Coturnix japonica: one gene and its partners. The main gene of each other region encodes a partner of the protein of the gene in region 3 in a complex. Links are inferred from orthologs where the notes say so. Each region holds a gene or a part of one and is shown on either strand. Other genes may lie near its edges.

The links.
Region 1: the proteins of NMT1 (region 3) and HPCA are in contact, whole or in part, in a crystal structure (PDB 7OWM), measured with the Homo sapiens proteins. The link is inferred for Coturnix japonica from reciprocal best matches to the Homo sapiens genes NMT1 and HPCA. Residues at the interface, in NP_066565.1 of Homo sapiens: Tyr180, Val181, Glu182, Asp183, Asp184, Asp185, Met187, Phe188, Arg189, Phe190, Tyr192, Ile245, Asn246, Phe247, Thr282, Ala283, Gly284, Tyr296, His298, Ser300, Lys310, Phe311, Ser312, His313, Tyr401, Leu403, Ser405, Tyr420, Gly468, Ile469; in NP_002134.2 of Homo sapiens: Gly2, Lys3, Gln4, Asn5, Ser6, Lys7, Leu8, Arg9.
Region 2: the proteins of NMT1 (region 3) and AIFM3 are in contact, whole or in part, in a crystal structure (PDB 6SJZ), measured with the Homo sapiens proteins. The link is inferred for Coturnix japonica from reciprocal best matches to the Homo sapiens genes NMT1 and AIFM3. Residues at the interface, in NP_066565.1 of Homo sapiens: Tyr180, Val181, Glu182, Asp183, Asp184, Asp185, Phe188, Arg189, Phe190, Asn246, Thr282, Ala283, Gly284, Tyr296, His298, Phe311, Tyr401, Ser405, Ile469, Gly470, Asp471, Asn473, Leu474, Leu495, Gln496; in NP_001373743.1 of Homo sapiens: Gly2, Cys4, Phe5, Ser6, Lys7, Pro8.

What each region holds. Positions count from the first base shown.
Region 1 is NC_029538.1:4,643,768-4,653,921, reverse strand, and holds HPCA (neuron-specific calcium-binding protein hippocalcin), read right to left. Parts: upstream 8,657-10,154; 5' UTR 8,539-8,656; coding exon 8,502-8,538; intron 6,589-8,501; exon of another isoform or gene 6,481-6,588; intron 5,502-6,480; coding exon 5,065-5,501; intron 4,776-5,064; coding exon 4,670-4,775; intron 4,394-4,669; coding exon 4,296-4,393; 3' UTR 3,984-4,295; downstream 1-3,983. Other genes in the region: E3 ubiquitin-protein ligase RNF19B, read left to right, coding at 1-48, 169-331, 666-780, 888-1,028, 1,381-1,588, 2,205-2,336, 2,530-3,019. UniProt on the Homo sapiens protein: Calcium-binding protein that may play a role in the regulation of voltage-dependent calcium channels. May also play a role in cyclic-nucleotide-mediated signaling through the regulation of adenylate and guanylate cyclases.
Region 2 is NC_029530.1:8,943,918-8,954,036, reverse strand, and holds the start of AIFM3 (apoptosis-inducing factor 3), read right to left. Parts: upstream 4,949-10,119; 5' UTR 4,461-4,948; intron 568-4,460; exon of another isoform or gene 341-567; intron 70-340; 5' UTR 1-69. Other genes in the region: NACHT, LRR and PYD domains-containing protein 1a-like, read left to right, coding at 7,067-7,310, 7,526-7,573, 7,748-7,795, 8,303-8,445. UniProt on the Homo sapiens protein: Induces apoptosis through a caspase dependent pathway. Reduces mitochondrial membrane potential.
Region 3 is NC_029542.1:814,643-824,699, reverse strand, and holds the start of NMT1 (glycylpeptide N-tetradecanoyltransferase 1), read right to left. Parts: upstream 7,949-10,057; 5' UTR 7,896-7,948; coding exon 7,768-7,895; intron 3,580-7,767; coding exon 3,471-3,579; intron 2,936-3,470; coding exon 2,791-2,935; intron 1,920-2,790; coding exon 1,801-1,919; intron 1,615-1,800; coding exon 1,523-1,614; intron 1,101-1,522; coding exon 984-1,100; intron 586-983; coding exon 415-585; intron 46-414; coding exon 1-45.

The DNA of each region.
Region 1 (10,154 bases), on a different chromosome or scaffold from region 3:
GTTCTGCTGGCTGTGCATGAAGGAGATCTCCGACCTGCATTACCTCAGGTGCTTTGCCTTCAGTGTTGTCCACTCACTCCTTGAGCTTTGGGTCTGTTTCTGTGGGAGTTGGCTTAGGGTTTCTCAGGGATCGCTCAAGTTTTAATGTGTTTTCTTCCTTCCATTAAGCCCCTCTGGCTGTACATTTTGGGGCAAAAAGCCATGGAGTCGCAAGAAGAAGATTCTCTGGCAGCTGGGCACGCTGATCGGCGCTCCTGTGGGCATCTCCCTCATTGCTGGCATTGCCATTCCTGCCATGGTCATTGGCATCCCTGTCTATGTTGGGAGAAAGGTAAGGATGGCAAAGCAAGCGGTGGGAGCAGAGGGATCCGAGCTCGGGGCGTTCTCCATGTTCTGTGCTCAAGGCATCTGAGCAGCAATTAGGGCTCTTGGGGAGGGTGGGTCTCTTCATAGAACCCAAATTCAGTTATCTTTTCTGAGCCCTGTCTTATCTCCTGGGCTTTGTGTGGGGAGAGGAGGCAGCGGCTGATGGCTGAATCCCCTGAGATGTCACACTGTGCCCCACCCCAGGCTGGGAGGAGGAACCCTTTTGGCACACCCCATGGCGGGGGCTCATAGTGTCTCCTGGTGTCTGCATTCTCACCTGGTGCCTGTCCTTCCCTCAGATCCACAGCAGATATGAAGGGAAGAAAACCTCCAAGCACAAGAGGAATTTGGCCATTACTGGAGGGGTCACCTTGTCTGTCATTGCCTCTCCAGTCATCGCTGCTGTCAGTGTAGGTAGGTGGGCACTGCATGGTTCCCTTCTTGCATGAGCATGGCTGGAAGTCGCAACCCAGAGAGTCTGCCCAGCAGAGCTCAGCCTTCAGCTCCTCTTCACTCTGCAGGTATCGGGGTCCCCATCATGCTGGCTTATGTCTACGGTGTCGTGCCCATCTCGCTGTGCCGTGGTGGGGGCTGCGGGGTCAGCACTGCCAATGGGAAGGGCGTGAAGATCGAGTTTGATGAAGATGATGGACCAATCACAGGTAGTGTGACAAGGGGGAGGGGAAGGGGCAAAGCGGGACCCTCTCACTGACTCTTGTATTGAGGTGAGGGGGGACTGGATAACTCCCAGATCTGAACATCAGCCTACTTCGGTTTAGCTAGGAGGAGATAGAATTATAGAATCATAGCATGGCTTGGGTTGGAAGGGACCTTAAAGATCATCCAGTCCCAACCCCTGCCCTGGGCTGGCTGCCCCCAGCTCAGGCTGCCCAGGGCCCATCTGTGGCCTTGGGCACCTCCAGGGATGGGGCACCCACAGCTCTGGGCTCCACCAATGCCTTGTTGTCCTCTGAGTGAAGAATTTCCCTGACTCCCTGCTGTTCCTCCCCACAGTGGCTGATGCCTGGCGAGCCCTGAAGAACCCCAGCATTGGCGAAAGCAGCATCGAGGGGCTGACCAGTGTGCTGAGCACCAGTGGGAGCCCCACGGATGGGCTCAGTGTGATGCAGAGCAACTACAGTGAGACAGCCAGCTTTGCAGCGCTGTCGGGCGGCACGTTGAGCGGCGGTGTGCTCTCAGGAGGCAAAGGGAAATACAGCAGGTGAATGGGGCAGGAGAAGGGGCTGGAGTTCCCAGGGCTGTGCTGGCTGAGCAGCTTTATGTGGGGTTCTGCTTTCCAAGTTGGGAGGTTACACCACGGTTTTACATGATGGTTTACTTCTCAGCTTGACTGCTGAGTAATTGGAGATGTGTTGATATGGCAGCCAAGATAGAGCCATGGCTCAGTGCTGCTTCTGTGGAAAGCTGTTCTTCTCAGGAATTACATGAGTCATGGATACAAACACTGCTTCAACTTTGCCATGGGAAACTAAATGGATTTCAGTAAATGGAGCCAAAAATTAAACTAAACGGGGGGATCCATCGGTGTTGAACACCGCTATGCCAACCTGGGCCAGCACTGAGCCCTTTGCTGACCTGTCACAGAAACATAGAATGGTTTGGGTTGGAGAGGACCTTAAAGACCATCCAGCTCCAACCACCACTGTGGGCTGGGTGCCCCCCAGCAGCTCAGACTGCGCAGGGCTCCATCCAACCTGGCCTTGAACACCTCCAGGGTTGGGGCGCCCACATCATCCACCTCATGGCACACAGAGAATGTTTGGTGCCCCCTGGGGACCACCTGAGGCATTTCTGAGCAACCCTCTCCCTTCCCGCAGGCTGGAGGTGCAGGCAGACGTCCAGAAGGAGATTTTCCCCAAGGACTCTGTCAGCCTGGGGGCCATCAGTGACAACGCCAGCACACGGGCCATGGCCGGTTCCATCATCAGCTCCTACAACCCGCAGGACAGGTGTGTGCTGTGGGTGTCCTGGAAATGTCTGCTCTGCAGGGGGTGGTGGGGTGCAGCAGGCTGCTCCCTGGTGGCTGCTGGCTGCATTGGTGCTGTGCCGGCACTGGAATGGAAGCACAAACCTCCTGCGCTGCGGTGCCCGTGGATGCCCTGGGCTGCAGCAGAAGTGATGCAGGGGTGCTTGTTTCTGCAGGGAGTGCAATAACATGGAGATCCAGGTGGACATCGAGGCCAAACCGAGCCACTACCAGCTGGCCAGCGGCAGCAGCACAGAGGACTCACTGCACGTCCACACCCAAATGGCAGAGAATGAGGAAGAGGAGGAGGAGGAGGACGGGGAGGAGGATGAGGAAGAGGAGGACGGTGAGCAGGAGCAGACGTGCAAACACCAAAGCTGTGAGCAAAAGGACTGCGTTGCCAGCAAAACCTGGGACATCACCCTGGCACAGCCTGAGAGCATACGGAGCGACCTGGAGAGCTCAGACAGCCAGTCAGACGACGTGCCCGACCTCACCTCGGACGAGTGCGGCTCCCCCCGCTCCCACAGCGCGGCCCCCTGCCCGCAGACCCCCAGTGCCAGAGGTGCTGAGAGCCCAAGTGCCCACCTGAGCCACTGTGCCCACGCCGAGGGCTGCAGGCTGGACGAGATGGTCACGCTGGAGTGCATCGAAGCCCGGGTGTGAGGTGCCCTCGTGCCCTAAAGCACACTGCTGTCATTGCATCTGCTGGGGCAGGGCTGTGTCTGTGGCTTCTCACAGCCCCCCCCTCGCCTCGGGGAGCTGCTGTTTCTTACACAACAAAAAAAGAAAACGGAAAATGCCCCCCCAACCCCCGCCCTCTTTTTGTTTTAATTTATTGGTTCAGGCTCTGTGAGGTGTGTACGAGTGTAAATATGTACGTGTGTCTGTACGTCTGCCATCGTCCGAAGGACCATTTGAATAAAGACTCTGGTTGTCCTTCGCCTCGCATCCAGCCCATCCTTTGTGCAGTCCACCCTGTGGTGCCTTTGGGTGCCTGTAAGCACCACCACAGGTTGGGCAGAAAGCCTGGTTCTGGAGATACAGGTTCAGCCTGTATCACCTCCTCGAGGGGCAGCAGTTTGCACACCAGGCTGCCCCTGCACTGCCTCGTCCATCCAGGGTGGCACATCCCCGGGGCTGTCCCCATCACCCGGCATTATCCAGCTGCAGTGTTCAGCCCCTCTCCTCCCCAGACCACCGTGATCCCAGCAGCAACCAACGGGTCTTCATCTTCCTCATCATTGGGCTCCTCACCTTCATCAGCAGAGCCCTCACCCATGGCCCCATGCTCTGCTCCCTGCAGTGTTCTGCCCTCACCTCTCAGTGCTCCTCTGCTCCCACCTGCAGCTCTATGTGTCATGTTGGCCATCCTGCTCTGTGTCCCCCTGCTGGGTGGGGGCAGGGTTTGTCCACCCAAAGCTCTCCATCCCCAGGTCTCCTTGCAGCCCCCTCCCACAGGACCCATCCCCATCCCAGTGCCCACCCCCCAGCACGGCGCAGCCATGGGGCAGCACTAAGCACTGGATGCTGCTCACTGCTGCCCAGGATGTGAGCCCATCACTGTTGCCCTGGTACTGCTGCAAGGGAGGTTGGATTCGGAGCTTATAGGAAAGCCTTTCCCCGCTGCTGACTGCACTGACACACACTTTATTTTGCAGGTATTAAAAGACTGAAAGCACAGCCCCTTCCCATGGACCCATGTATGCTCTGGCTGTGGGGAGGGGGCTGGTGTGGCAGTGTCTGCATGCTGGGGGGTGCTGGGGGGGCTGTGTTCATCCCCTTGGCCGTGTCCCTGTGCCAATCAGAGGAGCAGCAGTGGCTCTGCCATGCTGCACCACACCCCTGGTGCTCTGCCCATGGGGACATGGAGGTGGGGACAGCAGGGACGAGTAGTGGTGGCAGGAGGGGGCGGTGGGGGCTGTGGGGACCGTGGTGGGGCTCAGAGCTGCCCGGCACCGCTGGGGTCACACTGCAGCAGGCGCACGATGGATGGATCGCTCTTGGCACCTTTGATGAACTCCTCCAGAGACAGTTTGCCTGCGGGGAGACACAGCTCAGTGCAGCAGCTTCCACCCCACCCAGGAACACGGGGCCACGGGGACCGGAGACCTCCTGGGGACACCCCCAACCCACCAGCTGCCCGGGGTGAGCCCCCATGTGTGACCAGCAGCACTGTGTGCACCCCGAGCCCCTCACTGCCAGGGCTCCCCCCGACCGCGCAGCATTTAATCAGTGAGCACACAGCTCCCTCTAAGACCCCCGGATTTAACCATGAGACCTTTCCCTTAATCCCCTCCTTCCCCTCTCATTTACCATCATTATTAGTATCCATCTGTCGGAAGATTTTTTCCGTTCTTTTCTCCGGAGTCGATTCATCTTCTGGCATATTCATGACGGAGGAGACCATTTTGTAGATGGCCTGGGAAAAGGACGCAGGGATGGGGACAAGGCTGATGGGGACAGAGCTCACTGCCACCGACCCGAGGATGGGGACAGAGGGCTCCCTTTGCCAGGGCCGGTCCCAGATAGGGCAGCAGCCACCTTGCAGGAGGTGGATGGGAGCTGCTCCTGCAGTGCCCGGTGAGATGTCACCAAATCAGCCTCATCGCTCCTTCTCTGACACTGCTGCCACCAGGCTGGGCTCTGGGCAAAGGGGATGCACAGGAAAGGCCACCACAGCCCCCAGGACCACGGAGGGCACCACGTACCTGCACGATCTCCAGCATCTCCTCCCTGCTGATGTAGCCGTTGCCATCCAGGTCGTACATGCTGAATGCCCACTTCAGCTTCTGCTCCAGCTTCCCGCGGGAGGTGACGCTCAGTGCAATGATGAACTCTCGGAAGTCGATGGTGCCGTCGCCGTTGGTGTCGAAGGTGCGGAAGACGTGCTCAGCAAACTTGGAGGCATCACCATATGGGAAGAAGTTGGCGTAGATCTTCTTGAACTCCTCCACGTTGAGGATGCCCGAGGGACAGTCCTTCAGGAAGCCTTTATACCAGCCCTGCAGCTCCAGGTCGGAGAACTCGGTGTTTTCCCGCAGGTCCTGGAGCATCTCGGGGCGCAGTTTGCTGTTCTGCTTCCCCATGCTGCTGGGCACGCCGACCCCAAGGGAAGAGCGCCTGGCCCTGCTCGGGTCCCTGAGTGCTACAGAAATGGGGAGGGATGGGGCAGCGCTCCCTGGCAGCCCCCAGGCGCCCACACGGAGGTGTGAACCGCTGCTGATCCCTCCATCCCGCTGTCCCCTCTGAGCCTCTGGTGGCAGCCCCAGGGACAACGCAACGCAGCGCCAGCCCCCGCCCTTTGGGTAATACGCCCTTATGGGTCATTTGCATAATATACTGGGTGATATATAGGTGGCATCAGGAAGGCAGAGCAGAGCTGAGGAGGGGATTCAGCCCGGTGAAGGGCTCCGGTGCAGATCTGAATGGATCTGGGTCAGCTCCCTCAGGGGGGGGGTTATTTTTGGTGCCTCCACTGTCTCCGTTTGTGTTTGGTGCCTCCGGACAGCTCTGCAGCTCCGGGGAGAGCCGGGGGCCACAGTGCCCCCTTTCAGCCATAGCCCCCTCCCTGCACCAGAGTGCCCAGTGGGGACCCCAGTGAGGGCTGGGAGGGGCGGGGGTGTCTGCAGTGCCCAGAGTACCACTGCCCCAACCCCCTTCCATTGAGATAAAGGTGCACAGGATTCCCTGTGACAAAAAGAGCCCCATAGGGACTCCCTCCAAGGACTACGGGACCCCCAGCCCCTCTCCATCTCCTCTACTGTGCAACGTTGCAGCTCAGCATCAGAGCTTTGTGCAGAGAGTCTCTGAAAATGGGCACAGCTGGGGAGAAGGACGGAGGGGACCCCCAGGGAAGATACATCTGGGGCAGGAGGGATCCACAGGGAACTCCCCCCAGGGAGGGGACTACAGGGACCCCCCCTCCAAGGGATGGTGCCCCCGCGGTGGGACGCACCGGGGGACACCCGCAGGAAGGTGCCGCGGGGTACGGGCGGACCGGGAAAGCCCCGGGGCGGGGGCTCTGCAGCCGCCGGCAAAGAGGGACGCACCCGCAGGGCTGAGGCTGATGCTGTCCCCGTTCCCCCCATCTCCCCCCGGTTTCCCCCGGTCCCGCCGCCCCCTACCTGCCCGGGGAAGAGCCTCCAATGCCGCCTCTGTGCGCCAACGGGGAGCGCCCTCCGGCTGTGCCCGCCGCAGCGCGGGGCTACGGGGCGGCACCGGCACCAGGGGGGGCGCGGGGGGGGCACGACGGGCACCGGCTGCAGTCAGCCCCCGCCCGGCCCGGGCTGCCCCACCCGCCTCGAAGCCCCGCACCCCCCTCAGGCACTGCCGAAGCCACAGCTTTGGGCTGCTCTTGCGAGGGCTGGCACTGGGCTGGGCTGGTGCTGGGAGCCCATCAGTGGCTCAGGTGCCTGCAGCCCCAGGTGGGCACTTTAATGTGGTCCTGGGGAGGTTTTCAAGGGCGTTTTTGGAAAAAAAACCCCACTCAGCTGTCACTCAGGGTGCAATTCTACTCCTTGGTGGATGGGATGGGGTTGCACAGCCCTCTCTTTGGGGCACCACTCTCTCCATCACCCCTCCCAGCACATCTGCCAACCCCCCCAATCCCCTCAGAAGGAGCTGCAGCTCCAGAACCCCAAAGAGATGGAGGAATTGGAGGCCAAGGGCAGCTCCCACCACCCTGCTGGCCCAAGAGGTGCCCAGCCAGGTGCTCTGGGGTTAAAAAGGGAACTTCTGGGTTGGGATCCAGGCACGTGTCAGGGGTCACCACTCAGAAGATAGAGCAAAGTGGCCTCCAGCAGCCACCCCTACACCAGGAAAAGGCACCCACAGAGCCAGCTGCTGCCCAGATGGAGCGACATCCCCACGGGTTTTCCTGCCTTCCTGCACTGCTCCATCAATTGGCAAAGCCTGGGATTGTTCCGAAACACCGTTGGGAGCAGATGGTAAGGGCAGATGGGAGGAAGAGGAACCCGTCTCTGAATTACACAAATAAATATGCATAAAGTGATTAAACCCACAGCCCTGACTCTGTTTTGGGGGTATGGGGAAGGGGCCAGGGGGGAGTTGGGGCTCCACTTCCCTGCAGTGGGACGCATCTGCCACCACGCGGGGACCTTGCAGGAAGAAGCAATTGCTGATAATAAAAGCAAAGTTGGTTTCTTAGTGTTTTTCTCTCCTTTTTAATAGCTGTGAGCACTGAGCTCAAGGGGTCTGTGGGATCAGCCTGGGCTGGTAACAAGGAAATGGTGGTGAAAGCAGCAGGACATGCAAGAAAGGTGAAAGGAAGGGACTAAAAGATAGGACTGGAAATGGGGCTTTGGTGTGAGCAGAAAGGTGAGGAAGATGGGGAAATATGGCTGTGGGATGTAAAGGCTCCCTGTGTGCTGGGTGCTGCTGGCAGCTCCCTGCAGGTGGGGGTGCCTTTTCCCCTCCAATAATCTTCATATCTATTTTAATCCCCCTCTGAATGAGTGACAGAGGGCACAACTGATGCAGGATGATTTGAAAGCATCCCATTTGACTCAAACCCGGCCCTAAAACCACCTAATCCCCCACACTGAAATGGATCACAGGAGGGAGAGGATAATGCGGGGTGCGGGTAGGACCACGCTGTACCATCAGACCCTCTGCAGTGTACAAGGTCCCTGGGCTGGGGGTCAATGGTCCCAACCCCTCCCCTCCATTCCCCATTCCTCCATCCCCAGCAGTCCCTGCTGTGTGCCCTGTGGGATGCTGTGAGGAAGAGCAGGCAGGACCCCATCATTGCTCGGCTGTATCCCCACACCCTGTTCAGCCCTGGAGGACGCGGTGAAGGTGAGCAAAGTGCGGGGTTGGGGCTGCAGGGATAGCTGAGGATTAAATACAAATGCCCAGATAATGAGGATCTTTGGTAAAAAGCCCATTTGTATAATTTAAATCTCTAATAGGCTTCCTGGAATACAAAGCCCTTTGTGATGCCCAATCTCATCTGGATCAGGAGCTGCTCGCTCACTAAATCTTGACTTAGAGCCATGGGGATGCAGGGACGTTTCATAACAGAGTGGCTTCATCCCATGTCTCCATGTCCCCATATCCCCACGTCCCCATCCCATATCCCCATATCCCCTTGTCCTGGTGCTGTCCCAGAGCACACAGCACTCACCTGGCCTGGACAGCTCGGGGGCTGCAGCACACGCCATGGCAGGGCCAGATGCAGCTGCCAACCCAGCGGGGTGAGGGGAGAGCACCGAGAGGGGCGCGGGCTTGGATCCATCCTTAACCCCCCACAGCTCCCACGGGACGGAGGTGTTCAACCACCAGTACCACCAACACCGCGACGACCACCACCAGAACAACCAGAACAACCAGAACCACCAGAACCACTAGAACCACCAGTACCACCAGTACCACCAGTACCACCAGTGCCACCGCCTCGCGTCCCTCGGGCTCCCTCTGGCGGTTCCTCGCCCCGCTCCGGGGCGGCTCGGGAGCTCCGGGTCCTGAGTGGCACCTCCGTGTGTTCGGGTGGGGATTTCACGCCCCGCTCCTCCGAGCCGCCGGTTCCCCGGCTCCTCCCCCGTGGCTAAGAACCGGCGGTCACGTGTGGGCGCGGGGCGGTTCCGGTACCGGGTACCGGCAGGTGGCAGCAAAGGCCCGTGGCGGTGCCCGGCGTGGCCCCGGGGCGCAGCTCCAGCCCCGGCGATGTGCTGAGCCCTTTGCCGGGCTGCAGCATCAGGAGGCGGGGGCTGCCCCATGCTCAGCATCCTCCGGGATGTGCACCCCGAGACGTGCAGCTCCCCATGGACGATGCCCCTCCGCTCTGCAGCGCCGCAGCCTGCAGCTCCTGTGGGCCCGAGATGGAGCAGAACAGGGATGGCCACATCCCCTGGTGTCCGTCTGGGGATGGAGATGGGACATGAGTGCGTTGTGTGCCTAAATGCTTAATTAGAGCTGTGACTTAATTGCTGCACTGAAGACATGATGAGTGTCGCGTGATTTGAATGTTGCAGCGCTGGGACTGGGGAGGCTGAGGAGGAAACAGAGCCATGGCAGCATGACAGAGCACCCCTAATTCCTCCCCGATGGTGGGAGGGGAGGGGGGACAAAGGGATAAAGCAGCGGAACCCACCAATGGTGGCAGATGTTGGAAGGAGCAAATGTTGTTCCTATATTTGGAAAGGGAGGGAAGGAAAAAACAGGGGACTGTGGCATTAGCAGCCTTCAGCTTCTGGAAAAATACCAGAACTCATCACAGCCCTCCTGCAGGAACCGGGCTGTGCTGGGTGAGGGGAACAGCTGGGGCTCACTGCTGGGATGGGACGGCTCCAGCAGGAGGATGTGGAGGGGAAAGCAGTGCTAACCATGTGCAGGGCAGGGAGATAGAGCTGTTCCTTTTCAGTCCCATAGGGATTATGCTTGGCATAACCATAGGGACCAAGTGGATGCTCCTGGAAGACCACCACCCGCTCCGCACCCCCAGCAGTGCAGGAGGGATATCAGTACCAGGCAGAGCCTGAGGGATGCTGCCTGACACACTGCGGGGTCAGACACGTTTATGGCTGCAATGAGGGTGCACAGGGCTCGCTGAGGCCCAACCGATGCCCACACAAGGCCACGCGGTGTGGTGGCTGAGCCGATTCCTCCAGCAGATTACCATAAATCAGAGCGCCGATGGCTTCGTTAACCCAAAGGCACAGCTAATTCGAACAGCTCATCTAATGCTCATTTGCTCTGTACTTAGAGCCCGGAGACACGCCGGGGCTGCACGAAGCCCTGATGGGTGAGATGTCACCGCTGCCACGCACCCGCCGGGGGT
Region 2 (10,119 bases), on a different chromosome or scaffold from region 3:
GCGAGTGGATGGGCACAGTCTAGCATGGCAGCCGCCCACTGGCACTGGGCCTCAGGCGTCCTTCAGCACCTGCATGGGGCAGAAAAAACTCTTCTGAAGTTTTAAATCACCAGCGTCACTTGGTTCATCTCCAGGCTTTAATAACTTTCTGAAGCCCTGCCTTTGGGAAGGCTAGAATTAACCATTTCCAAGAATGGCTGGGCTAGAAGGGACCTTACAGCCCCCAGCCCCAACCCCTGCCCTGGGCTGGCTGCCCCCACCAGACCAGGCTGCCCAGAGCTCATCCATGGCCTGGAGCAACACTGGAGATGGGGCACATCTGACGTTCCTATGGGCTCACCTCTCAAGCCTGTGCAGGTCCCTGTGGATGAGCCAGGAATGTGCTATGAGACCTACATCCAGTCCTCAAAGAGCCATCAGGTTTGTGCAGAGCTCCCAGACAAGCTCATTTGCAGAGGGAATGGAACAGGGAAAAGCCAAGTCACTGAGTGGCAAGGGTGAGAGCATCCAAGGAGAGCAGCATGCCAACGCTTACGCAACAGTAAATGCCGAAAAATAAATAAATAAAAAGTCAAGAAAGGAGGCACAAAAATGCAGAAGATTTGGGAAAAATACAGCAGCAAAGTCACATGCAGTATCTGCTGTGCTGCTCTGTGGACCTTTGCCAAAACTCACAGGAAGAAATGGAAAACAGTTCTGTATGAGAGAGAGTCTCAGCTGTTGATGTCTCAGTGATATAGGCCAACAGTTTACTGTAAAGCAATAAAAGATACCATGCAAAGATTCCCAACCCTGCAGAGATGCCAATGCACAGCCCAAGGCTGCAGGACTCCTTTCCAGCCGGTCTGGCTGGTTTCTGAGGGGCTCGTAGGGTGCCTGCCCATGAGTATCGGCCATTTGAATGAAGTGAATGCTTTGTTTGAGCCTTCAAGGCAGCAATCTGAAGCAATCCCCTTTGTAGTTCCCCTACTGATGGTCCCCAAGGGCCCTTTGGAGGGATGGGCTGTTCCTGGGCTGACCCTTGGGAGAGGATGGGAGGTTGATAGATGCCTGACGTGCCCATGGTCAGGGTCCTACAGCCATTCACAGCAAGCACCATGAGCACCATTTCAGCCCCACAAGCAACAGGGTGAAACTCCCATCTGGGAGCCCCACAGCCAAGTGCCATTGTAGAGACACAGGATCCTGGTTAGAAGGTCTCTGGATGTCAGGTCATCTCATGATCTCCCAATCTCTGAGCAATGCAAGGTAACCCTACTCTAAGCTTAAAACAGTGGACCTCGGTGAGGTCGGAAGTCCCACAAACACCTGGAGATCCCCATGGGTACCACACCTCTCAGACATCTATAAGCAGAAAAGGCCGAGATCCAATGGATGACAAAGAACATGGATATCCACTCATGGCAGCTGGAGGCCATCCCAGGTGCCTCATCCACACCCCTTCCACCAGATGTAGAGCTCCTAAGAAATGGGAAGTCAAGACGTTCAAAGTGATACCAGCACCAAGACAATCTCACAACACCCACTGGTCAGATGCAGAGCCTGGGAAAGATCTTTTGCTCTCAGGTCTATCACTTCTGGAGTACTTTGCCACTCTCCATGGCTCTGAGCACGGCCCCTCACCTGGCTGAGCCATTTCAGGTCAATGATTCCCTGCTTTGCAGAACCAACAATCCAGCTGTGCCCTTGATCCCTCAAGCACTATTCCCTGTGGCAGTTTTGTTTATCTAGCTCTCAATCACTTGTAGCACAGATATTCACAGGGAATGTCCTGGAGCTCCAAGCTCAACAGGAGATGCTATTTTTTAACTGCCTCTGCATAAAATAAGATTGTCTTTTTATTGCATTTCTGTCCCGTTGTTTGCAAACAAACCCCTGTTTCTGACTCAAGGACTGCAAAGTCCTGCACCTGGGCTGGGGCAATCCCAAACACACATACAGGTGAAGAAGAACTTGATGGTGTTGGCTAATGAAAAGCTGAATGTAAGCCTACAATGCCCATTTGCAGCCCAGAAAGCCAACTGCATCCTGGGTTGCAGCAAAAGAAGCATGGCCAGCAGGATGATGGAGGTGATTGTCCCCCTCTAGTCTGCCCTTCTATGACCCAGTCTGGAGAGCTGCATTCTGCTCTGGGCCTCCAGCACAAGAAAAAATGGACAAGAAGGACCTGCTGGATGAGTCCAGGGGTGAGGTTTGCCATCCCCTCCCTGCAGCTGGGAATCCAGGATGAATCTGTCCTCAGTCCCAAAACTGTCGGCTCTAAAGTGCAAACAGGACCATGTGCCTTTGCTAGGGAGAGAGATTTGGGTTTGCAGACTGTGCTCAGGGCACCTGATGGCACCATCTCCACTTGCAGGAAAGAGCTGGCTCTGGCTCTGGTCCCTGCTGTGGAAAAAAACAATCCTTGATCCCAAAGCTCTCCATATCTACTGCAGAGTTCCTTCCTTGCCAGCTCTCTGTATGTGCACAATATTGTCTTTCACACAGAGCACAGTGGGAACCGCTGAGCAGCTCCAGCAGGAGACTTGTTATGGGCACACCCTGCAAACAGAATGGAGCACAACCCCACCATGGTGGTGACCTCCACTGCATCCCATCCCATCCCATCCCATCCCATCCCATCCCATCCCATCCCATCCCATCCCATCCCATCCCATCCCACTGGCTGTGTCCTGGGGCACAGAGCATTTCTGCTGCAAACAGAGAATATAGGGACAATGGAGGAGGCAGGAACACATCCCTCTCATGCCACAGGCTGAGAGCAGAGCCAAGTGCTGGGCTTCCCTACGAAGCTCAGTGCCAAAAGCCCCCAGACCTGCTGGCAGCCCTCTGCTTGCTGAGTTCTGGACATCACTGCTCTCCAACTAAGCCAGCTTCACAGATCCAGTATATGACACCAGAGGGACCATCTGCTCTCACGTGAGCCAGAGCTGCACAGTGGTCACCCCACTCTGACAGACCCCCCCCCCTGCCTGGTGTAGCAACGCTAACACTCCTCTGAGCTGAAAAGTCTCAGGGCTGGCTCTTGGCTCCATCTCCAGAATAACACAGGCAGTGCTGCCAAGGAAAGCAGAACTCTCCTCTGAGGGCATTACTTCAACACAGCCCAGGTGTGGACAGAGCCTCGGGGGTCCCAAGGCACTCCCAGCACCCCACACTGTGCATGACATGTTGTCAGCCCAAGCCCTGACCCGGGGACAGTGTAGGGGTTGGAAAGAGCCACCAGGAGGACAGCAGAGTCCCACAGAGCAGAGCTGGGACAGCGTTTTTAGAGCAGGTCAAAACTTGGGCTTCTGAGACAGCCCGAGGGTGAAAACAGATGGATCTCCATCCTGGATGTCAGGAAGCACTTCTTTCAGGAGCCGTGCTACCCAGGATGCACGCACTCACATAGAGCAGCCCTACAGCACAACTGGGGAGGGAAATGCCCACGTCTGTGCCACGGGTCCCATCCCATCTCCAGGATGCTGCACCCGAAACCATCACACTGCAACGCACAGCCTGGTGCACAAACTGGGAGGGATCCCCATCCCACTGCACATCACCAGCTGCAAAGCTGCCACAAACGTGCCCTGCTGGCTCCAGGAGGAGTGCGGCAGCAATGTCAGGCTGCAATTAGCCACTACTGTTCCACCGGCTGCTGCTTCAGCAGTTTAGAGGCTCCAGGTTAAAGGCTCATTCAGCAGCGTTCTCATCGCCACCGCTCCAACGTGTCCTCTGCAAGCTGGATGGAAAATGTTCTGACATTAATAATTAAACAAGAGATTTGGTCCAGATCTCAAAGGTGCTCCCATAAATGCTAAAATGCTGAAAAGCAGCGCAGGTTGTGTGTGGGCTGCTGGATGCACAACTTCAGGTGTCTCACAACGAAAAGAGGTTCCAGTGCTGTGTTAGAGGGAAGTCCTGCTTGCCACCATCACCATTTCACCACTGCACAAGGGACAAGCGTATTTGCTACCGAAGCAGTGCAGGAGTTCATCACGGGAGCTTTTTCCAAGCCTGACAGCCAAGCACAACACCTCCACATTTCTACTTCCACGCATCACCCTGGGAATGTGACGTTCACTTCCAGAGGGGACCGCACGTCTCCCCGCTCCCCCCATTCTCTCACCCAGAGGCACATCACACCCGCACGCACAGACCGCACCGCTCGCACCTTGCCGGCCCCACCGCGGCTGTGCGCCCAGCTGGGCTGCGCTCCCCGAATAGGAACGAACAAACTTGCAGGGTACGCTGAACGTTCTGCTGTTCCAGCTCTGACAAACGCAGCTTTCTTCCCGCATCACCGCGGCCCGCTTGCTTGGTGCTATCACACCCCGTGCGCTCGCTGCGGTTCCGAACCACCCGCGGTGCTCCCGCAAAGCCGGTACCGGGACCCGGACACAGAGCGGTACCGGCAGCCCGGTACCCCCCGTTTTCCCCGCGGGATGCTCCTCCCGGAGCCGCAGCCCCGCACTCACCTGGGCAGCTCCCGGCTCGGCACCGCGACACCGCGGCATCGCGGCGGCAGGAGGGAGCGCGGCCGCCCCCGGGCGGGTCGGGGCGGGTCGGGGCGGGTCGGAGCTCCGCTACCTGCGGGCACCGAGCGGAGCGGAGCGGTGCGGAGCGGCTCGGCCGGGCACCATGGCACGGAGCGGGCAGTGCGCATGCACCGGCGGAGGAGATGCGGGAGGGTGCGGGTGTCCGTCTGTCCGCAGGAACGGGTGACAGCGACAGGGAACGGCGCGGAGCCGCGTAACGGGAGGGTCAGTGGTGGGGTAGGGAATGGTTCTGCCCCAGAGGGAGGTGGGCATGGAACTGCTCCCATGGGCTGCGGGAGCAGGGAGCGTTTGGACGATGCTGGTAGATATCGGGTCTGGGTGGTCCTAATGTGAAGCCAGGAGTTGGACTCTGTGATGGACTCTTTAGCAGGGTCTGTTGTGATAGGACAAGGGGAAATGGTTTCAAACAAAGAAGACTGGATATAAGGAAAAAGGTTTTGTTGTTGGTTTTTTGTTTTTTTTTTTTTTTACAATCAGAGAATCACAGAATGGTTTGTGTTGGAAGGGACCTTTAAGATCATCCAGTTCCAACCCCCTGCTATTGGCAGGGACACCTACCACTGACCAGGCTGCTCACAGCCCCATCCAGCCTGGCCTTGAACACTTCCAGGGATGGGGCATCCACAACCTCGCTGGGCAACCTGTTCCAGTGTCTCACAACCCTCCCAGTAAAGAATTTCTTCCTAATATCTAGTCTACATCTGCCCTCTCTCAGTTTAAAACCTTCTCTCCTTGTTGTGTCTCTACATGCCTTTAAAAAAAAGTTCCTCCTCAGCTTTCCTGTAGGACCCTTTCAGGTACTGGAAGTCCAATAAGGGTAGTGAAACACTGGCACTGGTTGCCCAGAGATGTGGTGGATGTTCCGTCCCTAGAGATATTCAAGATCAGGCTGGACACGGCTCTGAACACCTGATGGAGCTGTGGATGTCCCTGTTCACCACAGGAGAGTTGGGCCAGATGGCCTTTAAAGGTCCCTTCCAAGTCAAACCGTTCCATGATCCTTGTGGGTCTCTTCCAGCTTGGATTTTCTGGTTCCATGCTTCTATGGTTCCATGATTCCATGGTTCCGTGGTTTCATGGCTCTGTGGTTCCACAGCTCAGTGGTTCCATGTTTCCATGGTTCTACGATCAGGAGGCCACTGTCACCAACAAGATCTCTGCCTTTCCACCCAGCTCTTAGGAGCTCCTCTGGACTCAGCAGCCTGAGGCTGCAGTGCAGGCACCACAGCCACACACTGTCATATGGACTGAGATGCTCGGGGCAAAGGTCCACTAATCCTTGGTGCTCAATTTTTGGTCCACTGCTGTCAAACCAGGTGGGGAGGATCACCATCTGCTGCCTGGGCAGAATTATTCCTTTTTGCTGGAAATAGCCAATGCCACTCTTTCCCCTATCACTTATTTTACATCATCCTTCTGCATTCACATTTTTTCCCTCACTTTGGAGACAGGGATCTGTTCCCATTCCTGCCTGGCATGCTTTCTATTTTCTGCAGCAAACTGCTTTCCTTATCCATCATGCCCTGTTTGGGGATGTGTCAGCATCTCTATGTCCCTTTTCTTAGCACATGCCCCAGATAGACATTGTTCTCACACTGTGATTTTTGAGACCACCTTGAGTGCAGAGCAAAGAGTTGTCTCCCCTAAATGCAAACTGTGCTGGATTACCACTGGTATTCACACTCATCATACAACCTTGACATTGTCTTGGGTGCTGACTGTCTTCTCATGCAGCTTTACTTACACATGTCCCATGGTCCTGGGCTCAATTTCCACCCCCCAGCTGCAGGAGGGGAGGTGGGGAGGTCCAACTCCTGCCTAGCTGACAGGCATGGCACTCTCCTTCCTTCAGCTGAGCCCGTTTTGAAGGTGAGATGCTCTCTGCTCACAGACACACATGGCCAGCAGCAGCATGCCAGTGGCCTCCTGATCACAGAACCATGGAAACATGGAATCATGGAACCACTGAGCTGTGGAATCACAGAGCCATGAAATCACAGCACCATAGAACTATAGAATCATGGATGCGTGGTGTCCTGGAGCCATGCACCCATAGAACCATGGCCACCCTGTGGCCCTGCTGTGCCTGCAGTCAACAGCATGGGACATAGATGAACCAGGGCCACGACGTGTGTCCCCATAATTCTCTGGCCAAGCACACTGGGGCAAATTAGGACAGTATGGGGTATGGACCTGGGCTCTCCATGGTGACACACAGAAGGGCCTGAAGGAGTCCTAATGAAAGCCATGCCCTCCGCAAGAAGCGCTGCCTCCCTGCTTCACTGTCCCTCTGCATTCCCTGCCTCCCCATCTCCCTGCCCTGACGCACAGAGGCCAGAGGAGGGAGTGATGACGTGCATTGATTACCTGAAGTCTCTCCGTGCTTTCACTTTCTTGGGAAGTGACATACGCGGAAGAATTGTGGGCAGCCGCCTGTTCCTGGATGGCCGTCTGTGGCCGTGAGAATCTTGTGCACCTTCATCCACAGACATCGCTGTGTGGCTGAAAGTCTCAAAGCAGAGACAATGGAGACCACGAGCAGCTCCACATTCCCCATCTCTGTGACGTCTGAGTTAGGAAAAAATATTTCTGTGCCTGTATCTTTGGACGACACGGTGCTGGACCTGAATATGAAGCTATTTGCAATGGATAGCTGTTTCTACCCTTCTCAGTCAAGACTGGTTCATGATGGACAGCGGCTGATGAATGAACAAACTCTGCGACATTACAACATTACCTCCAACAGCAGCATACAACAATTTCATAAGTGTAAGTACCAGCCCAGATTCGGGGAGTGGCCATGGGAGCAGGCTGGCCTCGGGCTGCCAAGGGGAAGGGGCAAGAGGACCGTCAACCAGGGAGCCCTGTGCCATGGGAGGGAAGAACTGGGAGGGGAGGGCAGAAAGGGAAATGGATGTGGGGGAATGCTTCCCCTGATGGGACCGGGATCCTTACCTCTCCTCTGCTCTGTGTTGCTGTTGCAGCGCGAGGTGGTGGTTCAGCTGCACTAGAGGGCAAGGAAGATGTCTCAGGTACGATCACAGTCCTCACTGGCACTCTTGTGGAGGGAGGGAATCCACATGGGTGCTGAGTGTGTGTCTTATTCATACATGGAAGCTGTGGTAAATCTGGGAGCATGTGGGGGAATGCTTCCCCTGATGGGACTGGGAACCTGAGCTCTCCTCTGCTTTGTGTTGCTGTTGCAGTCCGAGGTGGTGGTTCAGCTGCACTAGAGGGCAAGGAAGATGTCTCAGGTACGGTCACAGTCCTCACTGGCACTCTTGTGGAGGGAGGGGATCCTCATGGGTGCTGAGTGTGTGTCCGATTCATACATGGAAGCTGTGGTAAATCTGGGAGCATGCGGTGGTGCACCTGTGTGATATGTAGCTGGTGGGATGGGGAAGACTGGGTGAAGGTAGGATGGCTGCAATTTGCTTGGAAAAGTCCCATTTCATCAAGTCCAACCATCCACCTAACACTGCAAATCCACTTTTACACTTTGTCCTTCAGGACCACAGCCACATGTCCCTTAAATACCTCCAGGGACTGGGACTCCACCACCTCCCTGGGCAGCCTGTCCCAATGCCTGGCCACCCCTTCTGGGAACAAATTCTTCCTGACATTCAGCCTGAACCTCCCCAGTGCCACCTCACTTCCTATCAATTGTCACCAAGAGAAGAGACCAACACCTTCCTCAGCAGCATCCTCCTTTCAGGTGACTGCAGTGAGCTGTAGAGACAATGACCATCTTCTTTTTCCAGCTACAGATAATCAAGAACGAATTTACCAGGCTGATTCATCACGATCTTCCTCTATGGTAATACTGCATGGTGGTTCAGCACATGCTGACTTAACTATAGAAACGAAGAGCCTTCTGGCAGGAATCACCTCAACAAGTGTAGAGGTAAGGTGTGGTAGGGTGCCTGAGGCCTGGGACAGATGGAGGAGTGTGACAGGTCTGGTCACTGGGTAAGGCTGGGCTCCTTGATCCCGCAGCCATCTCCACAGGGTTGTGTCCTGCAGCTGGGTAGTCCTCTGCCACCTCCAGTAGGCCTCTCCTCATGCCCTCTTTGCCTCAGTCATTAATAGTAAGACTTGTTACTCCCTGGGCACACATCCTATTGCACTTGTAGATAGATGGGGAACAGAATAAGCCCTGCATAATCCACAACGAGGTGATTTTGGGCTTGCTTCAAAAGCTGGATGCTTACAAGTCCACGTGGCCAGATGGACTGCACCCTGCAGTGCTTGGGGAGTTGGTGGATGTGGTTGCCAAGCCACTCTCCATCATCCTTTGGTAGTCCTGGCTAACCAGAAATGTCCCAGGGACTGGCAAATGTGACGCCCGTCTTCAATAAACGCCTGAAAGATGATCCTGGCAGCTACAGACCTAACAGTCTTACTTGGTGCCAGAGATGGTTTACTGGCAACAGATAATCTCAGGAGCACACGGACAATGTCAGCATCCTGTCTGCATGGGTTCATGAATGGTAGAGGTGTCCTGTCTGAACAAACCTGATTCCATTCTACTGACCAGGTGACCTGCTTGTGGATGAGGGTAAAGGCTGTCGACATGGTCACCGTGGGCCTCTGTTAGTAATCAGCCTTTGACACTGTCACACTCGGTTGGTTCTCTGTCATTCCACAATCTTCATGGAGAGAGGGGCTTGTCCGCCCCCACAGTTTAGGATGGGGTGTACACTGCACTGGGTGAAGTCACTGGCTGGAATGGCACGGGTCCCAAAGTAGTGTGTGGTCAATGGAATTAAATCCAGTTGGTGGCTGGTTCATAAGCTGGTTGTCCTCCAGGCAATGGCCATTCCTGGCTTGGTATCAGGAAGTGGTGTGGTGAAGCTGCAGGACTAAGTAAGTAATTCCCCTGCCCTGTGCTCGGGGGCATTGGCGAGGCCTCACCTCCGAGTGCTGTGTCAAGCGTTTTTGGTGGGCCCTTCAGTACAAAACAGGACAAATGGAGGTGCTGGAGCAGTGCTCCAGTAGAAGGGCACAGAAAACGAGCATGTTGGGAAGGGCTTGGACGAAGATGCGCCTATGAGGAGCGTCTGAATGAACTGGGCGTTCACAGTCTGGGGATAGTGGAGGCTGAGTAAGCGCACGCATCTCTTCCAGTATCATTGGAAAGGCGACTTTTATTAGCAGCCCCCCAATTTAGTGGGATTTGGTCTTTTCTCACTGTGTGACGAATGACAGAATGAGGGGAATATTAGCCTCGAGATGCACGCGGGTAAGTTTAGATTGATATTAGCAGAAACAATTTCTTTTCAGGGGAAGGTCATTAGCACTGGATAAGTGGCCTCGCTGGTAGGGAGTGGGTTTAAGTCAACATCTCTGAATGAGTCTAAAAAATCATTTCGATGCTGGTGCTCAAGGACAGGATTTAGTGGAGGGCTGAAATGATGTTAGGGAAACGTATGGTTCGGGTTTGAGTTGGAGTCATGATCGCATTTCTTAAGGTCTTTCTCCAACCTCAGAAATTCTATGATTCTACTGATTTTGGGTCTATGCCGCTGGCAAGCAAGCAATTCAGAGTGCAGAAATATGGCTTGGAGTGCTCTTCGCT
Region 3 (10,057 bases):
TTGACCTCAATGAGTTTCCGAGGATTCAGGGAGCGGTGCCAGTACCTGCACAAACACATCTGCTGGGGGAGATTGTTCGTGGGCAGCCAGAAGGAGCATAAGGTTCTCAAAGCTGCCATAAGAGGGCAAGCAAGAACACTGCAAAGGGGTTGGCCAGGAGTTGCCAGAGAGAAAAACAAGAGCGTGTGCAGTGGAGCCTCCTGCCTTGTGATAAAGGAGCAGCTTAAGCAAAGCTGCTCGAATAATCCCTGAAGGACACTGCAGGGAGGAGAAACCTGGGCTGGGGTTGACGTGTGCTGCCCCAGGGAGCCCCACACCAATAAGTGCAGCCATCCCCATCCTACACAGCACGGCAAGGGGCGCTCTGCAGAGCTTTTCATCGGTCCTAAATCTATTCAGAGAACTGGAGCTCACCTGCATGTCCCCACAGGCTTTGGCAGCACCACTCCTGCTGTGTAAACAGCCTGAAAGATCCCCTCCAGGTGAACCCTCCGTGTGATCTCGCGGATCAGAACCGGAGCCACTCGTTTTGAGCGCAGCTTTTTGTGGACACACAGGAAGTTTATCTCCACCATCTTCTTCTCTCTGAGGAAGGAAATAATGCAGAGCGTGAGACCTGACTGTGCTGACCGGGGTCCAACGCCCTGAGCAATTTAATTCCAGCTCCCCTGAGACACAGACAGGTCCCATGAGAGGCCAAAGGGCAAGGCCTGGCTTTGGAGAGCTCTCCTTGAAGCTGCCACACAAGGTTTTCCCAGGAAATATGGTCTCCAACCAGCCCTGGGGGATTTCTGTAGGGCAGAGCTCCTCACACTAGTGGTGAAAACAGCCCTCAGGGCTGTTAGATACATGGCATCCTTGCAGCCCATCCTAAATATCCCCTGCCTCATCCTCCAAGCAGCCAAGCATCTCCATGGCTGAAGGCCATCGCCCTGGAATGCCACCAAGGGACAGGATGAGAAACTCATCTGAGCAGCACTTACGTCTCGTAGATGTGGATGGTGGCAGGAATCGCACTGATAAACCCAACCAGCTTCTTGCTGGAGACCACTCTGACCCCGCAGTGCCACTGGGGCAGCCAGCCTGGGGGACGCAGTGCCCTGGAGAAGAGACACACATTGGTGGTCACAGCACACCCAAGGTCCTACACAGCACTTCCTGCTGCCTCCAACCTCCCTGGGACACCCCAAAACCTGCTCAGTTTGACACCCAGTTGACACCCAGGCTTGAGGAAAGAGGCAACCACAAAGTGACAGTGCAGGAACACTGGGAGGCATTCCTGCACCTTCTGGCCAAGGCCACTGGTGACACAGGAGGAAATCTGCATTCCTCAATTCATGAACGCCCCGAGGAAACAGCAGCTCAGCTGTAACAGGTCTCCAAGTGCTACTGCTGGCAGCGTTACTTGGCAGTCACCTTCATCCTGCAGCTCTGGGTCACTGGGAAGCAGCTGCAGTGCCATGGCCGGGGTTAAGCCCGCAGCATCCCGCACCTCCTGCTCTGCGGCTGCTCTGCCACTCACCACAGCAGGAACTCAGGAGAGTAGTCGAAGCGGAACATGTTGTCATCATCTTCCACATAGTTCTCGTTCAGCAGCGTGTACAGCTCCTTCAGCTAAAGGAGAGATCGAGGAGGTCAAGTGAGTTATTCAACCAGCACCGTTCAACTGCTGTAGCCAGCAGCCCTGAACCAGGACCCACAACACTTCTGCTGTGTCTTCAGCACTCCAAAAATCACTTCCAGCTGTCCAAGCACTGAAGCACGTGATGGGGACTCACACACTAAGCTGCCCCTACTCACCACGCCTCTGTCCCCAAGGTCCAGCGCATCCCAGGTGAAGCCCTGGGGCAAAGTGTACGGCTCCTGGCGGATGTTGTCCTTGTCTGGTTCAACAGGGCCGTGGGTGTTCACCACTTCTCCTGCCAAAGAGAGCAGGGAACTATGAACGTTACCTCCATCCCCACGGCATCCTGTCTGACCATCCCCATGGCACCTTGTCTGGGCACTCTGCACCTCAGGCAAAGCAGCCACAGCAGTGTGGCTGTCAAGAGAAGCACAACCCAGTGATGAGGAGTCACCTTCAAATGGCACTGAAAGTTTCCAGGCAATGAGGCGGCCAACAAAGCCCACTGCAAGAACTGCTCCCATCACACCTCTGCTTCTGGAAGTGCTCATTCATGGCAGCACACTCTGCTTTGAGCAGAGATCTGAAATCTGGCCCCAAAAAGCTGCGTGCTACCAGACCCTAAACAGCCTTGTGCATGTAACACCGAGATGGACAGCGAGATGCATAGAACACTGAGATGGACAGCGGGGCAGTCAGCCCGAGCACAGTCAGCAGTTTGGTGCACTGTGGCTGTTTGGTGCCTCTCCTTCCCCACCCCTTTCACACTGTACCTCCCACCTAATGGGGTTTACAGGCACAGAAGCGATGTTTGCCACGTCAGGATCCTCTGGTGAAAGGGGCAAACACAAACCAGGCTTTGCTGCCCCGGTAACCCCCTGCCTGCTGTATTCCACAATGATTCCCCAGCACAAGCACAAAAAGAGACCAAAGCTGGGTATCACTTCCAGCAAACAGCCCTTTGAGACCAAACAAAGCCTCGGACAGGTGCTGACAGCGTGAAAAGGGAATCAAACGCGGTGTCTGCAGCAAGAGGGGCTGGGAACTGCCCCATGAAGATCATGCAGACAATCTACAGCCACAGCAACGTCAGAAAAACCTGCATAGTATGCTCCCATCTCCTGTGAGGGCTCATTGGGGCAGCCTGGGGGCTACAGGGCACGTACCGAGCTTGGGCACCGGTTGCGTGTCCCAGAACTGATAGCTGCGCTTGCTGGCCTCCTCCATGGTTTTGGCAGGGCCCTGACCTACAGAGAAGAGCTCAATGGCTTTCTGAATCTCCTGGATCCTCTCAGCGGGCAGAGAGTTGACCTGAGGGTAAAAAGAGAAAGGACAAAATGAGGATGCTGAGCTTGTAGGCCTGTTTCAGCTCCTTGTTAGGAGGGCTGGGGGTACCAATAGGGTACAGACAAATCCTGCACTCCCCGCACTCCTGGCTGCTAGTCCAGGGCAAAGCCAAGAGGGGCAGACAGCCCCTGCTGCTGTTCTTATGTTAATTAAGCAAAAATCAACACCAAGGAATGTCATCCAAGAGTAGGAAAATGGGTTTGTTGTGCTGGCAGCCTGGCTCGGTGGCACAGAGCGGCCGTTCCCTGCCATCCCTGCTCTGATTTCGGGAAGAGAGGCGCCAGTCTGAGCCTTTCAGTGGAGCTGGCTTTGATACCCAGCTCCGGGCTGCATTCACCCTGCAGCAACACCTCCCGCAGCAGTGGGAATTCCCATGCACCGAGCCAGCAAATCACTCTTAAATCTGAAGGCTTTCAAGCAGCCAAGTGCCTGAATACAACAGCAGGCAGTGTCAGCAATGGGATCATTCTGATTGCCCTGAAAGGTGTGAGAAGCTCACCTTCATTGGCTGGTCCTGAGCCTGGTCAGGCTGATCTCCTTTTTCTTTCTTCCGTTTTGGTTTCTTTTTCTTCTTTTTGGCTCCGCTGTCATTCGCTGGACTCAAGCCACTAAGGAACAAAAGAAACATCATTGCGGCTTTTGGGCTGGTTTGGTTTTGGTGTTGTGTTTTTTATTTTGAGGGCACTTACACGGTCTCTGAAACACTCAAAGGAAAATAAAAGCTCCCTGTTTTAAGCCCTGACCTCACAGCCCCCTTCCTTCCCTCGTCCTCCAGCAGAGGACCAGCAGGTTGACATTGGTACCAATGGATGCATTGGAGCCACCTGAGCTGGTGGCCAGGACCAAGTGCTCCCCGCCCCCGTGGTTAGAGGCTCCAGCAGCTTCCACACCAGGAGAAACCCCAAAGCCAAGAGATCTCTGCGTGTGGATACATCCTCAGTCCAGGGACCCACACAGCACTGCTCCAGTCCAAACTCCTGCTAATGAGTTCAGCCCAAGTGGCATCATTTAACCAACAGGTAGAAGATGGGAGAAAATCCTCCTTGATTTATGAGTGAAGATGTCGTGAGCAGGAGGAAATCAGAGCTGAGTGTTCTGCATAAGCAGATTTCAGCTGGGAAATGAATGCAGCCCATCAGGCAAAGCATGGAGGAAATGTAATGTGGTGAATGGGAGCTACGCCTGAGTCCTTGGGACTCACAGCCACTCTTAGAGGGATTTTCAATTTTAAACCCACTTAGCAAAGCAAATAGCAATGGTTAGAGGTGTTGTCTATTTTAAAGTCCATTTAGCAAAACAAATACTGTGCCCAATCCCCTCTAACTCCCCAAATTAACCCTCGTGCCCTGCAGAACTGCAAACATCCCCAATCGCAGCACACAGGGCTGCTCTCCATCCCATCTGTCAGAGAACAGACAGCTCTGCCCAGAGCCCATGGCTCCCCAAGATGTGCTCACAGCCTTTTTCCTCTCCTATCTCGTCAACCCAAGAGCTGCTCTGACAGATAACATGGGTGGAGAAAGGCTGCACTACCAGAACTATCTTAGCACTTGGGGACGTGGGTTACCGACATAACAAGGATGGGTTGTGGTGTGACCTGGTGATTCTGGAGGTCTTCTCCAACCTTAACGACTCTTGAAAGAGATGTTAAGGCACAAGATGAGGTGATCTGAGGCAGCCACAGAAGGGACTCCATCCAGAGGGACCTGGGCAGGTTTCACAGGTGCCAAAGGCCAGGCTGGATGGGCCCTAAGCAGCCCGACCACCAGCCCATGGTGGGGGGAGGTGGAATTGCATTGAGGTCCCATCAAACCATGATTCCATCTCCTCCACACTGAGAAATCAGAGAGGTGACAGATGAGGAGCCGTGTCTGTCCCACATTTAGACACTGGAAAATCCTCCTGACGAACGTGCGTGGCTAATTGGGTGCAGGTAATCTCATTAGGCTGTGGGGGCGGGCAGATGGCAGGGACGTCACAGCGCAGGGCAGCAACACATCATCACTGCGATGTGTTCTGCAGCAAACCAGAAACAGCAACAAAACGCCGCTTTCACATAAAGGAAATGAGAATAAACATGAAAGTGTGACTCTGTGTTGGAAAACAAACTCTATGCTTCAACACAGAGAGGCACTTCCCAGCGCTGACACTGAACCAGGGCGGGGGATCTCAATTCCTCTTTCCTGTCCTTAAAAGGAAAGGAAGTGCTGCTATCGCTCTGTGATAGTGCTGGGTTCTACAGCCCTGAGCCAAGAGCTGATGGCTGTGAGCACAAGCTGGGCACTGGCAGAGGGACAGCCCCGAGCACTGCTCCAAACACTGCCCCTGTGAGCTCTGTGCTGGGAACGGTGCTCACCTTACAGATGTGGCACTGGGGGATATGGTTAGAGGACATCAGGATGGGTTGAGGTGTGACTGGATGATCTTAGAGGTCTATTCCAGCCTTAACATTCCATGAGGGGGCACGGTGGGGTTGGGGTTGGACTGGATGATCTTAGAGTTCTATTCCAGCCTTAATGTTCCTTGAGTAGGCATGGTGGGGATGGGCTGGGGTTGGACGAGATGATCTTAGAGGTCTATTCCAGCCTTAACATTCCATGAGGGGACATGGTGGGGATGGGATTGGACTGGATGATCTTAGAGGTCTTTTCCAGCCTTAATATTCCATGAGCGGACATGGTGGGGATGGGCTGGGGTTGGACTGGATGATCTTAGAGGTCTTTTCCAGCCTTAATGCTCCATGAGTGGGCATGGTGGGGATGGGTTGAGGTGTGACAAGATGATCTTAGAGGTCTATTCCAGCCTTAATGCTCCATGAGTGGGCATGGTGGGGATGGGTTGGACTGGACGATCTTAGAGGACTCCTCCAATCTTAATGACTCTGATTTGCTCAGCAGCACCCAACGCTTCCTACCCCACCCATCAGCCACCATTCATCTCAACAGCTGTACTGGGAAACCACAATGAGAAGGCACAGCAGCACTGAGTGAATGCCATGTGTGCTCTGTGCTTGGCTCTGGATCCTGCAAACCTCATCATGAAAGAGAAGAGGAAAAGAGGATCCTTCCCAAGCACGGCTCAACCCATTCAAAGGAGACACGACGTGAGACACGATGCCACACCCAGGAGGCAAATAGAACAGATCTGCACATCTGTAGTGCAAAAAACAGCTCCTGCAATACATCCTGCATGGCATTTATTGCCTGACATGCAAGATCTCTGAGATGGGGATTGAAAAGCCCTTGGTGCGATGCAGGTGGGTGCTGCTGTGGCTGCGATGTGCCACACGGAGGCACAAACAGTGTGAATGGTGTGAGCTCAATGCACAGCTCGGTTACAGCCCCAACACCCCGATGTGAAGGTGTGAGCTCAGTGCACAGCTCGGTTATAGCCCCAACACCCGATGTGAAGGTGTGAGCTCAGTGCACAGCTTCTCGCGTTATCAAGCCCATTGCACCCCGATGTGAAGGTGTGAGCCAGTGCTCACAGGCTCGAGTTATAGCCCCAACACCCCGATGTTGAAGGTGTGAGCTACAAATGCACAGCTCGTTTTATTAGCTCCCAACACCCTGATGTGAAGGTGTGAGCTCTATGTGCACTAGCTCGTTACAGCCCAGAGCCCCGATGTGGAAGTTGAGCTCAGTGCACAAGCATCTTATAGTCCCCAACACCCCGATGTGAAGGTGTGAGCTCAATGCACAGCTCGGTTATAGCCCCAACACCCATGTGAAGGTGTGAGCTCAATGTACAGCTCCTTTACACCCCACACCCGGTGTTGAAGGGTGTGAGCTCAATAACAGCTCGGTTACACCCCAACACCGCCGATGTGAAGTGTGTGTGAGTCAATCGCCAAGCTCGGTTTAATCCCCAGCACCCCGATGTGAAGGTGTGAGCTCAGTGCACAGCTCGGTTAATGCCCCAACACCCCGATGTGAAGGTGTGAGCTCAGTGCACAGCTCGGTTAATGCCCCAACACCTACAATGTGAAGGTGTGAAGCTCAGTGCACAGCCTCCGTTATAGCTTCCCAACACACCCCGATTGGTGAAGCGTCTGTGAGCTCAGTGCACGCTCGTCTTAATCAGCCCCAAACCCCGTGTGAAGTGTGAAGCTCTCAATGCACAGCTTCGGTTACAGCCCCAACACCCCGATGTGAAGGTGTGAGCTCAATATACAGCTCGGTTACAGCCCCAACACCCCGATGTGAAGGTGTGAGCTCAATATACAGCTCGGTATAGCCCCAACACCCCGATATTGAATGGTGTGATCTTCATATGCACAGCTCGTTATAGCCCAACACCCCGATGTGAAGGTGTGAGCTCAATGCACAGCTCGGTTAATGCCCCAACACCCCGATGTGAATATGGTGATGAAGCTCAGTGCACAGTTCGCGTTATAGCCCCAACTACACCGATGTGATGTTAGTCAAATTCATTTACAGCCTCGGTTAATGCCCCAACACCCCGATTGAAGGTGTGAGTTCCTCAATACGCTCGTTATAGCCTCCAACACCCGATGTGAAGGTGGCAGCTCAATGACAGCTCATTTAAAGCCCCCATTCTCCCCCGCCCCCATCCAGGCCCGGTCCCGGCCGCAGCCCCAACACACGCTCACACACATAGGAGTGAATGGACGCCAAACGGCCCGCCCACACGCCGATTGACAGCCGTCTCGTGCAATCGCACCACGCGATATTATCTATCAGCCAATCAGCGCGCGCGAGGGGCGGAGCGGAGCCGACTTCCCGGCCGCTGCCCACCTCAATGCTCCCCGCCGTCCCCCCCCGCCCCGCGCTCACCCGCGCTTGGAGCCGCGCTCCGCTTCGTTCTCGCAGTCGCTGCAGTGCTCGTGCTCGTTCTCCTCCGCTGACGGCCGGTGAGGCTTCGCCGGCGGCCGCCTCGCTGCTGTCTCACTGTCGTCCGCCATCTTGAAACGGGGCCTCGGCGGCTGCCGCACCCCCACAACAAAGCGCGCTGTGACTGGGCGCCGCGCCGCGGGGCATGCCGGGAGCGGTAGTCCGAGCGGGAGGGAGGGGGCCGGGCCGGGCGTGGGCGGGAACTACAATTCCCATCAGCCTTTGCCGCACCCCAGGCTCATTCTACCCGAGGGGTGGGACAGATTCCAAAGCGGGCTGTGCTGATTGGCTGAGAGGAGTACCCTCAGTTCCTATCAGCCAATCCGCGTGTGCTATACTGCGTGGTGCGCGAAGCCGGCAGCGGGTGAGTGCGTGAGGGGGCGACGCTTCGGGCCTGGCTGAGCGCGGCTGAGGGGCCGCGGGTCGCGTTGGGCTGAGGATCCACACGTTAAAATCGTGGTTTATTTGTGATTATTTTCCCTTTGAACTTCACTTTCGATCATCGCCGGAGCTGGGCTCGGACTGAAGCTGGTGCACTTTGCCCTTCAAACCCTCGGCTCCTTGGGGTGTGTTGTTCCATTAGGCCTCAATGTTGTGTGTGGTAAAATCACCCCGATTCCCCCCGTTCCTTCTGGGTTTTTCTTTCCTCTTGTTTCTTGGATCCGTCGCTTTGGTTCATTTGGCTCCTGCCCGTCTGCAGGGAGGGACGAGCGTCCCTGTGTGCAAATCAAACCCTCCATCATTAAACCACAGGGCTCGGGTGGTCTCTGTGGCCTTAAAAGTGCCGACAGACTCCATTGCAAACAGCCTTTAATGCTGCTTTACCCCTCGGTAACTCCAGCAGCTGACAGTGCACTGAGCTCTGTAACAAGGTTTGTTGGGGCTGCGTAACAGAGGGACAGGAATAGATCCATTGGGATCACGTAACACGGGACAGAAATAGGTTTGTTGGGACCAGGTCCCAGCTGGGGCCGCAGCTCGGGGCTACGGCGCTTAGAAACAGTGTATTTGCTTTACATGGGCAGGAGAGTTTTATGTTTCTAAGCACAGAAGTTTCCTCCATAGAAAGTTGTGCACTGATGGCCTGACCCCCTTCCTCTCCCCCTTGCTCTCCCCACACCAGCCCTGCCCACCTCACAGGGTGTAGAATACGTGGAACATCCAGGGCTGGATCCTAACCCAGTGTGAAGGTGGGGGCAGGGAATGCCCCATCGGGGTCAGGTGCTCACTTGGCAACAAAGCTCAGGATTTACATCAGCCTCTCAGAGATCACTGATGTTTGTTTGCTGCCCTCTCTGAATTCCCCCTTCTTGCTGGAGTTAACCCCATCTGTTTGCCAAAAGGAAGAGAAGAGCGCACGTGGTGCTGCTGTGGGCTCTGTGTGCTCTCAGCAGCCATGGAGTGAAGCTGCTGGCAGGTGCTGCTGGCTTTCCTCTCCCTGCTAACTCCCACTTCCTCCCTCTGCTGAACTGCCTTCAGCTGCTGCTGAGTGCATCCAGCCCTCTCTGGGTCCCATTTGTAAGACTGAGTCGTGACGCAGGTGTCTTTTTCTAGCAAAAAGGAGGCACTGAAATCACACAGATCATCAGGGTTTGGGGCAGGTGCCTCTCCAGGAGAGACTGAGTTTCCCCTGGTCTGGCCAGGAGGAGGATGAGGGGTGGCCAAGAGCAGCCCATCACTACAGGAATGTGGTTACTAAGGGGATGGAGCTGCTCTCAGCTGATCTGGAAAGGGCTGAACCGGTTCCAGGGCTCTCAGCAGGCACAGGGCTGTGCCTCTGGTGCCTCTTTGTGAGCTGACAGCCACGAGCTCACTGCTCAGAGCCGTGACTTCTTGCATCCATCGCGCTGTCCATGCGGTGCGTGCTGTCGATGACAGTGCTGGCTTCCAGGTAATGCAGAGATGTGATTTATTTGCAGGCTCCCATGTTCTGCGTCCCGATTATGTCAGAGGTAGCTCGTCTTCTCTTGCTCCCCATCTGCTGAGATCAAGCAGGGCTCACTATCTGTCCTCGTGGTCTGAAGTGCTGGGTGAGTTCTTCTTGTTGTCACTGATCCTGTGTCACCCTGCCGGTTGCACTGGGTGTCCTTTGGTTTGTGATGCTGTAGGTGAGGCACAACCAGATTCCCCATACTGTGGGGAATCCTTGTTTAACCTGGCTTTGTTTTTCAGCGTGGGCACCCAGCTCAGAGGGGTGCCAAGACTCTAATAATAATGTCTCGGTGACTCCCTG